3 linked regions of the Nothobranchius furzeri genome follow. The protein of the gene in region 3 interacts with the protein of the main gene of each other region in a pairwise test. Links are inferred from orthologs where the notes say so. Each region holds a gene or a part of one and is shown on either strand. Other genes may lie near its edges.

Region 1 (6,316 bases), on a different chromosome or scaffold from region 3:
CCTGTTGCATGTTCCACCTACTGCAACGGTTCCTTCAGAATAAAAGCTGACCCATCACGACCCCTTCAGGGTCTCGCTGATGCCAATAAACTGACGTGAACTGGGAGTAACTCAAGACTGGAAGGGTCGGCAACCGCTGCATATCTACAGGCGTCGGTTCCAAGCTGGACCCCCGACATTCCGGATCTAAACGGGAACTTCTGTTGGAGTACGTAGACGGACAGATGGCGTCTCAACGTGTGTTATAATCTCCAAACCAAAGCTTAGAGCGAAACACCCTTTCACTCCCATCAGAACTAATAGTCTCTCCGGATTTGCTGGTTCTGAACATATTTCTTTCACACACACACCATCCTCAGTATTACTCCACCTTAAGCCTGGTTTATGCTTCTCCGTCAGCTCCGCAAGGGACAGACACGCACGGATTGACGGAAGCGTTTTGCTCTTTTACTTCTCCGTCTCCTGGAGAGTGTTGCAAAGCAATTGCCCGGCAGGACAACAGAGGGCGTAGCGCTTTTCTGTGGTATCCTGTCATGTATCGGTCCAAGATCGTGTGTTTATATTGTGTTTTTTGTGTATATAAGAGAGTTTTAACACGGATATATTTGTCTCTCATTCTCCCACCTCTTCATGCGCTCCCCACCTCTAAACCCACGTTTCCTGTCATTTCCGTCCACTAATAAAACTCCTCCAGTCACGGGAGAACTAAACGTTCATATTTTTAGAGTTTTTTCGCGAGATATTCTTCAAGCTTCTCCGTGTCTGCCGCTAGTTATCCTCGGCTCTCTTTGCAATGGCGGCGCTGTAAACAACAGCGGCATCCTGACCAATCACAAGCTTGCGTAATCCGTCTCGTTCGACGGATGTTTAAAAAAGTGGGCTCGACTCCGTACGTCCTTGCGTGCCCTACGCAAGGACGGATAATGGCGTTGCGTGTCTCCGCACTGACGCAGACGGAGAAGCATAAATCAGGCTTTAGTTACATCATACACCTGGTGTTTAAAGTTAGTCTTCTTTAAATTGTTTAGAAATAAATCTTCTTTAACTTTAAAACTCGACTCTCTCTCTCGTCTCTGGGTTAATACGAAGTGTTCCCTAATCCCTGCAATAAAAAGTTCCGATCTTCTGGTTAAAGTAATATTCAAAGATCCACCAAATTGATTTAATATTTCCTATGGAATCTCACATTTTATGGGTCATTACTTAAGATGTAACAAATCATTACATACAATTTCACACAAGCTGCGGAGCTGAAACCAAATGCTTCAAGAAACGTATGAATAGTAAGCTGACAATTTTCCTTTCTTGAGCAACAGTTGTTATAGCAACACAAAAATAGCTTTGTAGCAGAGGAGCAATTGTGAGGGCTGCAGTTTACTGCTGCTCAACTGTTAGTTTAATATTTCATTCTAGGTCATCCCCTTGCACCCAATTAAATGAGATTTTATTTTCAATACCCCGTCACGCCCTTAAAAATCTTAAGGATATGTTTTACATGATGGTGCCACAAATAAACAGAAAAGAAACATAAAAAAGAAAAGTACAGTGATTGTAAATGTTGAGAAAAACAAAGGAAATACTGAGAGGAAAACAAAACATAATTGAAATAAATGATGCCTCCAAGAAAAATGTCTGCTATATCATTCTGTAGCTGTAGTCCAAGCATGGCAAGCAATGAGTGTAAAACATATATGCTAAAAAAAGAAAAACAGTTAATCAGTGAAAAGGATATTTGAATAAACTGCTAAACGTCAGCATGTGTCCTCACTTTTAAATAATGTCTCTGCTGAAAATGCAACACAGTCCAGGCAATTATTCAAAATAACCGTCTCCTGTAACAGCTTCCATTGCTGTGTCATACTAGCATCAACGTGTTTTTATTGTTGATGTTTTTGCTTCTCAGATCATCACTTTTCAAGTTAATCAGAATGAACAATAAAGTATTTTGTTAATTATACTTGTTCAAGTCTATCCAAACGGGCTAAAGTTGGTAGCTGAACAAAAACTGGGAATCACCATCAGCTTTCAAAACCAGAATGAATGTGTGTCTAACCTTTATTATACATTTAAAACTATTTTATAAACGTCTCTAGATTTGTTAGATTTGTGTGGAACATGTCTACACAACAATATCTTATCAATTGCAGCAAATCAAAACCACACATACTGACTATTTGGCCCATTTTACAAATAAAAAAAAGCAGCGACAAAATCATGACCATTGTTTTTTTTTTACTTTTTTAATCCACTGCCTCAAATGAAAAAGTTATCTTCTGTACTACGTCAATTTAAAAAAGTGATAAATTAATAAATTCACCAGATTTTCACCCCTAATAAAATAAATCCACTTTCATCAATCAAATAAAGTTTAACTAAGTTTATTTAGGTCATGATCTAAATCTCTAAACCTTTTTACGTTTAAACACAAGTTAACCACTGACGAGTATGTGAGCAGAAACGATGCATGACTGATTATTTATGTCCTCCAGCTGCCTAATGTGGATCACGTCTACTGTAACGGGGACTTACTCATCTCCATCCGGGCAAATGCCCGTGGTCTCGTCGTATTTGGTGCAGTAGACATCGGGGCTGTAGTTAAAGGTCCCGTCTCTCCTTCTGATCGGTCGCCTTCGTCGCTGGTTGAGAAAATGCCAATGAAAGCAAGTAAAGGGTCTGTGCTGCGTACACTTGTGCTGGAGGAACAACGGGCACTGCTCTGTCCTGAACTCCTTCAAGTATCTGAAAAAGCGAAAAAGAATAAAAATAAGACAAGCTTGGGTCACGCGGTGAGGTTAAAATAGCTTTAAGCTAAGAGGTGTCGTGTTCCGCTGCTGTTTGGTTTCCTTCTATATATTTTGGGTCACTGACGTTGGTGTGCTATTCTGAACGCAAACTATGCACACTTACTCGCGTAACGGTAAGTGCAAAGCTTTGGGCGTACGTCCATAAACGTGCGTAGAAAGAAGGAACTTAAAGAAGGCCGAGCTATTTACAAGCAGCAGGCTGTTAGCGAGTTCCTGGCTAATCATTTAGCAGACAAAGAAAACGGCATAACATTAAATACACGATTAGAAACCGTCCTCCAACCTACTCAAACAAACACAACGACTCCGACTGCATATTATTTAGCAGTTAAATGAATTAACGAGTTCGTATTTCCTGCCTCAGCTCTGGTGTTGTTAGCAGTCGTTGTTAACGTAAGGTAGTCACAAAGCCAGGAAAAGCACCATATTTTTAACGCACACACACACACACGAGAGTTGAGGAATGCTACAAATGCTAACGCACAGAAGCGCGCGTGCAGCTCGCATTTTCTGCAACGAGAGCTTTTGTTGTTTGTGTGCAGCAGCATTACTCACGTATAGTGGGTAGGTTTCTCGGTTTGAGGAGACGCATTGGCCGCCGTTTTCGAAACCGACGGCATTTTCAGTCAAAACAATGAATTGCGCATGCGCACGGGTGTACATAACAGCACCACAGAGCTCACACACGGATGTTGGGGGGCGTCGAACACATCAAGACTTTAGACTTTAAAACTCTCTATATTGTTTTGGACAGGAAATTCCATCCCAAATACTGCGACACGCTGGTGTTCTACTTGATTTTGAGATACACATTTCTGTAATATCTGAGTTTTTTTATAGTGGTTCATGCAAAAGGCACTTTCATAAAAGCGGTTACTTTGGAGGAAATATGAAATGTCCCAAGCTGCTATGCTAAGTTCTGCTAATTCCTGCATAGACTACAGAAGATGTAGTAATTAGCTGTATAAATCAAAAACTGGGTGTACACCAGTGCTTCAAATTTTTACCTCTCAGCATTCCAGGACTTTTTTTTTACTAGCGTAAAGTGAGTACCATATTCTATCTGGACATTTATCAGTCGAAATCTTCAAAATGACAGAAATTTGTTTGTCTGCAGGCTAGCAAACAATGTGTGTGAACTCATTTCAAATCACCATAACACAATAAAATGCCTACATGCAAGTTGTCCAGCCCAAAAAATGTCACCACCCACTAAAAGGTCACTAATATTTTGTTGGACAGCTTTGATTACGGCACACATTCACTGTGGCAGTGTTTCAGTAAGCTTCTGCAATGTCACAAGATTTGTTATTATCCAGTGTTGCATTAATGTTTCACCAAGATCTTGCATTGATGATAGTAGAGTCTGACTGCTGCACAATATCTTCTCCAGCATCCCAAAGATTATCAGTGGGGTGAAAGGCGCAGTGTGTAAGAATATATTGAGAATTTTACAGTGAGAAAACCCCAAAAGAGTCTAATGTTTCAGTCATTGCAAAAAGCTCCAGAGTTGTTTAAAGTGGTTGCAGTAACCAAATTTTACCACAGGATGTAATTTTTACTTCATTTCTACATAATGCACCTCTAAGGTCTGGACTCAGGTGGCCAATCCATGTGTGAAATATATGTCTCATACTCCCTGAACCACTCTTTCACTATTTGAGCCCAATGAGTCTTGGCATTGTCATCTTGGAATATACCCGTGTCATCAGGGAAGACCAAATCCATTGATGGAATAATCTGGTCATTCAGTACATTCAGGTAGTCAGCTGACCTCATTCTCGGAGCACATCCTGTTGCTGAACCTAGACCTGACCAACTGCAGCAACCCCTGATCATAACACTGCCCCCACAGGCACTAGGCATGGTGGGTGCATCACTTCATCTGCCTCTCTTCTTACCCTGATGCTCCATCACTCTGGAACAGGGTCAATCTGGCCTCATCAGACCAGTTTTTAATAATGCGTTGGACAGTTCTTAACCCCGTTTTAGTCATTTCTACAATCTCCTTAGGTGATTTCTCTGCTTGATGCCAACGATCTGACCCTTCTCACACAGGCTAACATCTTTTCCCACAGCCACCAGATGTGTCTTTCCACATGGTTGTTTAAGAAAGGAGAAGCAACTCATTGCACCAGTTGGGGTAACTTGTTGCCAGCTTAAAGATAACCACTCATGCATTAATTATCCAATAGGAGGTTTATATCTATCTGCTTAGTTAAATACAAGTGGTGAGTGTTTTTGGTCAGGGGCAGTATATACATTTTTATTGATGGACAACAACTGACATCTGAAGTAGAAACTCTGTATTTCACGTTTGTTCCACAGACAGTTATTGCATTTTTAACCAATAGATGGAAACATGCAGGGATTCTTATTTGGTCCTGTCTTTCTTCCCAACTGTAACATGCTTGTCATTTATTCAGTTTTTGATTAATACACTCACATGCAGGTAACAATCTTAATACATGGATGTTCTAGCCTGGCAAGCCGTCCTGTATATCTGAACATGTAGTCCATTGACAGCCCTCAGTCGTGGGGCGGGATCTACGGTTGTCTTTCAAACTGTGCCTGCTATTGGACAACAAACAACGCGATGTACTCACCACTACAGATGCCGGGCATCAGGGCAGTCTGCCATTCTGTCAAAGAAGATGCAAATACGTCATTTTTCTAAACGAACCTAAGTACCTCTATCTGCTCTTTTAAGTAAAAAACAAAAAAAAAAACAAAAAAAAAAGTACAAATATTCTAAACTGTTAACTGGAATTCAGAAAATGGTAGAAATGGCTTTTTAGGTGATTTTCAGTAAAATTTTAAATAGATCTGTAGAGCAATAAGTGGTAAAGTAAAATAGATTAGATTTCTTTGAACTTCTAGTATTTACTAAGACATCACAATATAACTATAGACACATTACTTGTGTGTGTGTGTGTGTGTGTGTGTGTGTGTGTGTGTGTGTGTGTGTGTGTGTGTGTGTTTGTGTGCGTGTGCTCTCCGTCTTCTCCATCCCCAGTGAGTCGTGGAGGATGGCTGCTTATACTGAGCCAGGATCCTCTGGAGGTTTCTTCCTGTTAAAAGGGAGTTTTCCTCTCCACTGTCGCTGCATGCTTGCTTAGTATGAGGATTGCTGTAAAGTCACTGACACTAGTCAGTGACTTGATGCAATTTGCTGGGTTCCTTATATAGGAAACATTATTTCTGATTGGCTTAATGAACTGTGAATTGGAATGTTTATTATGTGAAGTGCCTTGAGACGACTCTTGTCGTGATTTGGCGCTATATAAATAAACTTGAATTGAATTGAAATTCATTACAATGCCAAATCCAACATTTTTGCTCCGCAAGTAAAGATCTGACCTTCAGAAACACAAAAGTGTAAATGATGTTTGCATTAAATCCTTCCTCCACCTACCTAACCTGTCACACTTTACCAATGTTTTCACAGCAACACACACACACACACACACACACACACACACACACACACACACACACACACACACACACAC
Region 2 (6,316 bases), on a different chromosome or scaffold from region 3:
CAAAATTCCTGTCTCAAAAAGCTATTAACGAGTTATTAACCTAATCATCTGAATCAACTAACTTTTAAAAACCTGCAAAAGATTCCTGAGGCTTTTAAAAACTCCCAGCCTGGTTCATTACTCAAAACCGCAATCACGGGTAAGACCACTGACCTGACTGCTGTCCAGAAAGCCATCACTGACACCCTCAAGCAAGAGGGTAAGACACAGAAAGACATTTCTGAATGAACAGGCTGTTCCCAGAGTGCTGTATCAAGGCACCTCAGTGGGAAGTCTGTGGGAAGGAAGAAGTGTGGCAGAAAACGCTGCACAACCAGAAGAGGTGACCGGACCCTGATAGTGGAGAAGGACCGATTCCAGACCTTGGGGGACCTGCGGAGGCAGTGGACTGAGTCTGGAGTAGAAACATCCAGAGCCACCGTGTACAGGCGTGTGCAGGAAATGGGCTACAGGTGCCGCATTCCCCAGGTCTAGCCACATTTGAACCAGAAACAGTGGCAGAAGCGCCTGACCTGGACTACAGAGAAGCAGCACTGGACTGTTATCAGTGGTCCAAAGTGCTTTTTTCGGATGAAAGCAAATTTTGCACGTCATCCGGAAATCAAGGTGCCAGAGTCTGGAGGGAGACTGGGCAGAGGGAAATGCCAACATGCCTGAAGTCCAGTGTCAAGTACCCACAGTCAGTGATGGTCTGGGGTGCCATGTCAGCTGCTGGTGTTGGTCCACTGTGTTTGATCAAGGGCAGGGTCACTGCAGCTAGCCATCAGGAGATTTGAGAGCACTTCATGCTTCCATCTGCTGAAAAGCTTTATGGAGATGAAGATTTCATTTTTCAGCACGACCTGGCACCTGCTCACAGTGCCAACACCACTGGTGAATGGTTTACTGACCATGGTATTACTGTGCTCAACTGGCCTGCCAACTCTCCTGACCTGAACCCCGTAGAGACTCTGTGGGATATTGTGAAGAGAAAGTTGAGAGACGCAAGGCCCAACACTCTGGATGAGCTTAAGGCCGCTATCGAAGCATCCTGGGCCTCCATAACACCTCAGCAGTGCCACAGGCTGATTGCCTCCATGCCACGCCGCACTGAAGCAGTCATTTCTGCAAAAGAATTCCCGACCAAGTATTGAGTGCATAACTGAACATCATTATTTGAAGGTTGAATTGTTTTGTATTAAAAACACTTTTCTTTTATTGTTCGGATGAAATATGCCAATTTTTTTAGATAGGAATTTTGGGTTTTCATGAGCTGTACGCCAAAATCATCAATATTAGAAACAATAAAAGGCTTGAACTACTTCAGTTGTGTGGAATGAATCCATTACAGTGGGGCAAAAAAGTATTTAGTCAGCCACCGATTGTGCAAGTTCTCCCACTTAAAATGATGACAGAGGTCAGTAATTTACATCATTGGTACACTTCAACTGTGAGAGACAGAATGAAAAAAAAATCCATGAATTCACATGGCAGGATTTTTAAAGAATTTATTTGTAAATCAGGGTGGAAAATAAGTTTTTGGTCACTTCAAACAAGGAAAATCTCTGGCTCTCACAGACCTGTAGCGTCTTCTTTAAGAAGCTTTTCTGTCCTCCACTCGTTACCTGTATTAATGGCACCTGTTTGAACTCTATCTGTATAAAAGACACCTGTCCACAGCCTCAAACAGTCAGACTCCAAACTCCACTATGGCCAAGACCAAAGAGCTTTCGAAGGACACCAGGAAAAGAGTTGTAGACCTGCACCAGACTGGGAAGAGTGAATCTACAATAGGCAAGTAGCTTGGTGTGAAAAAATCAACTGTGGGAGCAATTATCAGAAAATGGAAGACATACAAGACCACTGATAATCTCCCTCGATCTGGGGCTCCACGCAAGATCTCATCCCGTGGGATCAAAATGATCATGAGAACGGTGAGCAAGAATCTCAGAACCACACGGGGGGACCTGGTGAATGACCTGCAGAGAGCTGGGACCACAGTAACAAAGGTCACCATCAGTAACGCACTACAACGGCAGGGAATCAAATCCTGCAGTGCCAGACGTGTTCCGCTGCTGAAGCCAGTGCATGTCCAGGCCCGTCTGAAGTTTGCCAGAGAGCACATGGATGATACAGCAGAGGATTGGGAGAATGTCATGTGGTCAGATGAAACCAAAGTAGAACTTTTTGGTATAAACTCAACTTGTCGTGTTTGGAGGAAGAAGAATACTGAGTTGCATCCCAAGAACACCATACCTACTGTGAAGCATGGGGGTGGGAACATCATGCTTTGGGGCTGTTTTTCTGCTAAGGGGACAGGACGACTGATCCGTGTTAAGGACAGAATGAATGGGGCCATGTATCGTGAGATTCTGAGCCAAAACCTCCTTCCATCAGTGAGAGCTTTGAAGATGAATCGTGGCTGGGTCTTCCAACACGACAATGATCCCAAACACACCGCCCGGGCAACAAAGGAGTGGCTCCGTAAGAAGCATTTGAAAGTCCTGGAGTGGCCTAGCCAGTCTCCAGACCTCAACCCCATAGAAAATCTGTGGAGGGAGTTGAAAGTCTGTGTTGCTCGGCGACAGCCCCAAAACATCACTGCTCTCGAGAAGATCTGCATGGAGGAATGGGCCAAAATACCAGCTACTGTGTGTGCAAACCTGGTAAAGACCTATAGTAATTGTTTGACCTCAGTTATTGCCAACAAAGGTTATGTTACAAGGTATTGAGTTGAATTTTTGTTATTGACCAAATACTTATTTTCCACCCTGATTTACAAATTCTTTAAAAATCCTGCCATGTGCGGATTTTTCACATTCTGTCTCTCACAGTTGAAGTGTACCTATGATGTAAATTACTGACCTCTGTCATTTTAAGTGGGAGAACTTGCCCAATCGGTGGCTGACTAAATACTTTTTTGCCCCACTGTATGCATGTTTATCAGTACGTTACAGACAATAATGAACTTTATCACAATATGCTAATTTTTTGAGAAGGACCTGCATTCCACATCATGTTAAAGGGTCAGGCCAAAAATCGGCCTCATTGTCTGTTGGACCGGGCCTGGACCACAACCAAACTGTCAGCTGGGAAGGAAATTGGAAAGATGAGGTCAGGAAATCTGGACCGGATGTTGGGTTTCCTAGTAAACTAAACAGAAACAAAACTAGTCATCACTGGACTAAACCCATCTAGATTCTGCTCACCGGTTCAAAGTTGCACCTGTTGGTCCTCATGAAGTCAGCGCAGTCCTGTCGGATCTTCTGGTGGTAGTTCTGGGAGTAATACAGCTGCAGCACAGGCAGAACAGCGGGTCAGATGGGATGGCCCGGGTTTGGGTTATCAGCATGAGTCTACTGAGCAGCCCTGCCCCAACCACCATCTCACACACACACACACACAAATAAATCACATAAATGGGGGTCAGGTCTAAGGTGTCACCTCGGCCCCCAAAAGGACTAAATCCACAGGTTGATCCAAACATTCTGTTCGGTTTTGGACTGATTTGCTTACTCCAAAAAAGGGGTTCCCAAAGCCGGGGTCGTGACCCCACTGGGGATCGCCAGGAGCTTCACTGGGGGTCTTAGGCTTGTTTCCAGTCCATAAAGCAAATTTTAAAAGAAAAACAGTTGCTGAAGCTACAAAAACTCAACTGCAGTCATAAAAGTAAACCTGAGCGGACGAGTTTCGTTTTGTCCTGAATTATTCCGCTTTATAAGTTTCTGAAGAGACGGGGTCTGAAGCAGGAGTGTGGGTACCACTGCTGCAGAGTGGCTAACCGGTCACCGGAACCGAGCCGCTACTCGGAACTAGTCAGAGAGAGCGGTGAGCGGCCCTGCAGGTCTCACATCACATGTGCGTGTAGAGCTGGACATTTTGCCTTAAGGACAGAGGAACACGTTTGTCGGAACCGCAACGAACCCCGCGTTACCCCGCCTCACCTGTTCAGACACGGCCCGGAACAGACTGGACGCGTCCCGCGCCACCATCTTCCGGTAGAGTCCCAAACTGGACAGGTACTCGTCCATGTTGACGAAGTACTTTTTCAGACCTTTCTGCATGCCGCTGCCGAAACGAGCCGAACAAAACTCCACGGAACAGCCGGTATCCTCCGGTGAAAGCCGCGCGAGCCTCCGTGGCGCCAGCAGGTGAGTTTAATCAGGTTTAACGAGCGCGCGAGATGCGTTCAGGGACCCACCAAGTCTGGGACAGAAGCGGACTGGACAACCTGTCAGACAGAACCGAACTTATGATTCAGTGGAGGACCCAGGATAGCTGAGGAGAACATTTGCTTCAGTTTCAGCTTCATCTCCAGCTCCTGGAAAGATCCAGAACCGAGTTTATCATTTAATTTTAAATTTCTGGTCTATTTTTGAAGCGCCTGTTAATGGGAAAGGTGCAATTTAAATAAACTGTACTTATTTTTTTACTACAGCGCTGACAGATCCAGATGTTAGAGGTCTTGTTCCAGATGTGTTCGCGACCCTCACACGGGTTTACTTTTTGTACCTGGAGATTCTAAAATATATACTTCCTGTCTGCTGTCCTGCTTGTGTGTGTGTGTGTGTGTGTGTGTGTGTGTGTGTGTGTATATACTACACACACATGTATATATATATATATATATATATATATATATATATATATATATATATATATATATATATATGTATATATACATATATATATGTATATATATATATATATATATATATATATATGTATATATACATATATATATGTATATGTATATATATGTATGTATATATACGGTATATATACATATATATGTATATATACGTATATATACATATATATATGTATGTATATATACCGTATATATACATATATATATATATATATATATATATATATATATATATATATATATATATATGTGTGTGTGTGTGTGTGTGTGTGTGTGTGTGTGTGTATACGGTATATATACATACATATACATATATATATATATATATACATATATATATGTATATGTATGTATATATACATATATATGTATGTATATATATCGTATATATACATATATATATATACATATATATATATAAATGTGTGTGTGTGTGTGTGTGTGTGTGTGTGTGTGTGTGTGTGTGTGTGTGTGTGTGTGTGTGTGTGTGTGTGTGTGTGTGTGTGTGTGGTGTATATGTACAGTCTATGGTATATATATACACGCACACACACACACACACACACGCACATACAGTGAGAGAGAGAGACCAGTGGTGAAGGTAACTCGTTAAGGCAGCTAGTTAAATACACATTTGGCCATGATGTAACTTCAGCAAACGAAAATAAATGAATTAAAATAAAGAATTGTGTTTCCAAGGAGAAACAGCATTAAAGACACAGACATACAAATCTACATACTAATAATAATAACAGATGTTTTTTTGTATTTTTATCTATTCAAATCGTGCGCGCGCATGTACTGTGGCTTTCTCAGCTGCAGCAGCCAAATGTGATCACCAGGTGGCAGCATAACATTTACGACATATAATATGTACGTAGAAGAAGACAGCTGCGCGCATGCGCCCCCAAAACACCTTGAGATGGTTCGGGTCTGGTTTGGCTCTGTGAGATTGTGATCCAGATGCTGGAGTCAGTCCTGCGGCGGTTCCGACCGCTCTCTGCCGCCTCGGTGCGCTCTCTCAGCGGGTTTCCGCCCTTGTTTCCTGCCGCGCAGGTCCGGAAGACCTTCCTGGACTTCTTCCAGGAGAGCCACGGACACATTCTGGTTCCGTCTTCTCCCGTCCGACCCAGAGGAGACCCGAGCTTGCTGTTCGTGAACGCCGGTATGAACCAGGTTGGTTTGTGGTCCGGTTCAGTCAGTCGGAGAGTCTTTCAAAATAAGAGTCCAGTTGGACATTTAACGAGTCGTGTTGTTCTGTTTAACTTTATTAACACTCCAAAATAAAACAAATAAAGTATCCCTCACCTTTAGCAGCACCGCAGAACCAGACCGGGGTTCTGCTTTTGGATCAGTGAATAAAAGCATCTTTACGATTGGAGCTGCAGCATAAATGACCCCGTAACCAGATCAGTGCAGGCACCAGTTAGTCACTCTGGTGGGTATTTGGCAGAAGATGACTAAAATCACAGCTTAATTTAAACTGGTTGAGTTGGTCAAAAACACAGTTAAGCAGGAGGCAGGCTGTTCCCCTGATCAGCCGTTACCCTGATATGATCAGCTGTGACCCTGATATGATCAGCTGTTATCCTGATCAGCTGTTACCCTGATATGATCAGCTGTTACCCTGATATGATCAGCTGTTACCCTGATATGATCAGCTGTTATCCTGATATGATCAGCTAT
Region 3 (3,600 bases):
GGATAACTGCTCCACCTTGTTGTTTGTTTCATGTCTAAGATATTTTATAACATTGAGGTGGGAGAAAAAAAAAACAACATTACACCTTTACAGAAGAAGATTGAACCTTCAATTATTCCATGGAAGATCTGAAAAAGGAAAAGACAGCAACCCATGGGGAAATAGAGGAAGTCCAGTTCAGAAAGCTTTCCTCTCCAGCTGGTCCAGAATGGTCTGGATTCTCTGAACAGCCTCTTTCCGGGCTTGACGAACACTCTCCTGTCCCTGAGTCTCCACAGAGTCTAGCTCCAGCAGCTCTTTGGTCAACAGTTCCTCTAGACACCGGTAGCTCTTGTCAGTTTTTTTGCCGACAAACTCATCAACATCTTCCTGAAGCAGCTGGACTCTGACCAGAACCTGCTGGACTTTAGCAAGCCCAGGATTGTCGCTCAGGGGCTGAGGTCCGGCAGGACCAGGAGCTGGTGGAGTCTCAGATTGTAAGGGGTTGGGATCGCTTCTCCCATTCTTGTTGTAAATCTGGGGAGGCGAACTTATTTCAGCAGGCTTTCCATTGGTTGAATTTGGAGACAGTGCTGGTCGGGGTTTCGGTCCCACATGAGGGGCGCGCTGGTCCTAGAAGAGAAAGTGGAATTTACCTGATTAAATTCCCGGCTCTTAAGTCATTTTTGTTTGATTAAAAAAGAAAAAGCAAAATGCACAAACTACAGAGAAAAAGCAGCGGACTCTTACTTTAGGCTGATAGGGTGGTGGAGCACCAGTTCCAGTACCAGGCCACGCTGGGGGATGTGGCGGTCGGACAGGGTTACCATAGGGACTTTGTGAAGGCTGCTGTCCATGCTGCCACTGTTGTGGTGATGGAGCATACTGACCTGAGTGACCCCAAGCTTCAGCCTGAGAGGTGGGATGGGGAGGCTGCCCAGTGGGATATGGTGGATTTGGAGGAACTGCATGTCCACCTTCACTGTAGTGTGAATAATGCCCTTGAGGATATCCAGGACCCTGAGGGCAAAAGAAACAAACCACTTGTTTTCCAAACAATACTCTAGTCATATTTCTACCAGTACTGGCTACATTTAGGGTTGATCTCCCACCTGGCATCTACTAGCTATGTGAAAACTTGCAAAAACCCACTCACGCCTTGACAGTGTGGGCCAGGATAGTGATGGTGTTGGTGCTGAGGGTATGGTGGCCCAGAAGCCCCACTACCCTGCTCTGTAGCACAGCCTTGGTTGGGATAAGAATTTCTTGGATGGTCAGCACAGTAGAAGGGGTTTGATGCGTGGAAACTGCTTGTTGAATACTGACTTTGTGCAGGGCTGTAAACTCCGTGGCCATTTGGATATCCTCCAGGCATCAGCTACACGAACAACAAAATAAGAGACGCAATGAGTAAAAAAAAATGTACTTAACATAAAGATAAACATATTAGGTAAGACCAAGGATTCTATTGACCTATCATCCTATTAGCTGTGGCTTAGAGAGGATAGGTTGTATTGCACAAGGAGCTGTACCTGTGGGTTGTACTGCTGCTGAACATCTGATCCAGAGGGATAGGTGTTTGCATAGTGCCCAGTGGAATGAGACTGTGGATACCAGTAATGTGACGCATATCCTGGATACTGAGGAGAATCCTGTTAACACAAGAGATATTTTTTATAACTAATAAAAGAAAACACCCCAAACATTATCTTTAAGTCCAACAATTAACTTTAGAGTCAACATTCTTCTTTCAACGTGGCTGTGTATCCTTGAAGGGACGATAAATAAATACAAAAAGTATAAATTAAACATCACTGCCGCTGAAATTTTGGTGTCTCAAAAGATTTATTATCAAGCTGAAAATATAAAAACAGTTAGCTTAACTAGCTCGTGCTATTACATAACGCCAACTAGCCAAGTTAGCCACTCCGCTAACACGAGCAACGCTAGCTAACTCGCTTCCGGTATGACTTATATACTAATTGAAGTCGGTTTTAGTCGATAATAAACTCATGAACTTTTTATTGTAGCCGTTGAACTTATCTGTGTCGTTTTCGTCTACTCACCATGTTGTTACTCCAGGTTCCGTGCTGATTTTCCGAGTTACAAGTAGAGGGCCAGTCTGGTTTAAGATTTGAATGCATTTGGTGCATCAGCTACGCGCATTCCCCATCCGCAGTCCCCTTGAGCAGCATTTTCCATAAATAAACCTTTAATAAGATAAGAGTTACTGGTCTAAAACACCAGCAAGTCCAAGGTGTTTCTACTCAGAAGTACAAATCGTCTGATTGAAATCAGGAAATGAGTCAATGACGCGAGGCTAGGGGAAACCCAAGCCTGTCTCTTTAAAACAGAGATTCGTCAAATATTGAGATGCTTCACGCCGATGCCAATTTCTGATAGTGTTAACGTTACTGCGGGGTCAGCATTGCCACGATCAAATAAACATTTCTTAAAACTAAAATTATCACAACTATGACATCAAAGGAGTGGTTACGATGCAAGTGGATTGGAAATATAATCTCATTCATAAATTTTAAGACTAAAACTAATTTTTCCCACGATATACGATCTTTGTCTAAATGAAAAACCCAACCACTAATGAAAACAAATATAATTTTTTTGTGAAATTAAATGCGACACTAAAGTGTTTTTAAAATATTAACTTGTTAAAAATCATAATATTGTCTTCAGGATATTAATATAAAGGATGAAGAGTAGAAATAATTATATTTATAAAATAACAATAGTTACTTAGAAATATTTCTGTAAATTCGCATTTTGGGGTCAGCAACCACAGACATATAGACCGTGTCACTCACTCTAACAGTCTTTTCGATCATTATTTAGCTAGAATTAAAGGTAAAACTGTACTTAGAATGGTGTGGAGTCCAAGGGCTAAGTTAGCTGGTTAGCTACAGCGCTACAAACTTTTACACTGAACGAGGAGGGTTTTTGGCGCCGTCCAGTGGCATCAAGCTAGAACTACACTTATTCCATTTTTAGTTCTTTTTTATAACACAGAAAATGTTTTTTATTTTATTTTTTTTTTTTACCTTGCTGACAGTTTCGTTTGCCGACTGTAAAACATTAGCAGTCGGCAAACAAAACTGTCAGCAAGGTTATAAAAAAACAACTAAAAATGGAATTAGAAACTAGACACAGCAAGTCTTTTGAAAGAGATTGGGAGATGGGGAGCGAGCGCCCTCCAGTGGCAAGAAGATTGAACTACACGTTAGTTCAGTTAAACCCGAAAAACGACGTAATCTTTGTTTTTGTCTTCTTGGGAAAATGAACATGAAGGATGAACGGTAGAAATACAAAAATGAACTATATTCATACAGTTACAATAGTTACTCAGTACAAATAACTTTAAATTGTTTAAAAAATACAATGGGATGTTGTTAGCAATAGGGGAGCTACTCTAAAAGTCTTTTTTCTCCCATTATTTAGCTAAAAACATTTAAAACTGTATTTATGTATAGATGGTTGTCTGGAGTCAAAGGGCTAGACCCAGCAAGCATGCTATAGTGCTAAAAAAATCTGATTTTTATCCAAAGTTGTAGAAGAAGAAGAAGAAGAAGAAGAAGAAGAAGAAGAAGAAGAAGAAGAAAATATCAT

Evidence for each region.
Region 1: the proteins of bag4 (region 3) and unkl interact in binary tests that used the Homo sapiens proteins (3 or more experiments, as listed by UniProt). The link is inferred for Nothobranchius furzeri from reciprocal best matches to the Homo sapiens genes BAG4 and UNKL.
Region 2: the proteins of bag4 (region 3) and alg13 interact in binary tests that used the Homo sapiens proteins (3 or more experiments, as listed by UniProt). The link is inferred for Nothobranchius furzeri from reciprocal best matches to the Homo sapiens genes BAG4 and ALG13.

The regions. Positions count from the first base shown.
Region 1 is NC_091745.1:4,010,626-4,016,941, forward strand, and holds the start of unkl (putative E3 ubiquitin-protein ligase UNKL), read right to left. Parts: upstream 3,655-6,316; 5' UTR 3,425-3,654; coding exon 3,360-3,424; intron 2,740-3,359; coding exon 2,530-2,739; intron 1-2,529. UniProt on the Homo sapiens protein: May participate in a protein complex showing an E3 ligase activity regulated by RAC1. Ubiquitination is directed towards itself and possibly other substrates, such as SMARCD2/BAF60b. Intrinsic E3 ligase activity has not been proven.
Region 2 is NC_091746.1:29,406,252-29,412,567, forward strand, and holds the start of alg13 (putative bifunctional UDP-N-acetylglucosamine transferase and deubiquitinase ALG13), read right to left. Parts: upstream 4,055-6,316; 5' UTR 4,044-4,054; coding exon 3,924-4,043; intron 3,273-3,923; coding exon 3,189-3,272; intron 1-3,188. Other genes in the region: aars2 (alanine--tRNA ligase, mitochondrial), read left to right, coding at 5,594-5,806. UniProt on the Homo sapiens protein: Catalytic subunit of the UDP-N-acetylglucosamine transferase complex that operates in the biosynthetic pathway of dolichol-linked oligosaccharides, the glycan precursors employed in protein asparagine (N)-glycosylation.
Region 3 is NC_091757.1:36,773,901-36,777,500, reverse strand, and holds the start of bag4 (BAG family molecular chaperone regulator 4), read right to left. Parts: upstream 2,306-3,600; 5' UTR 2,133-2,305; coding exon 2,046-2,132; intron 1,632-2,045; coding exon 1,512-1,631; intron 1,358-1,511; coding exon 1,136-1,357; intron 1,000-1,135; coding exon 730-999; intron 613-729; coding exon 178-612; 3' UTR 1-177. UniProt on the Homo sapiens protein: Inhibits the chaperone activity of HSP70/HSC70 by promoting substrate release. Prevents constitutive TNFRSF1A signaling. Negative regulator of PRKN translocation to damaged mitochondria.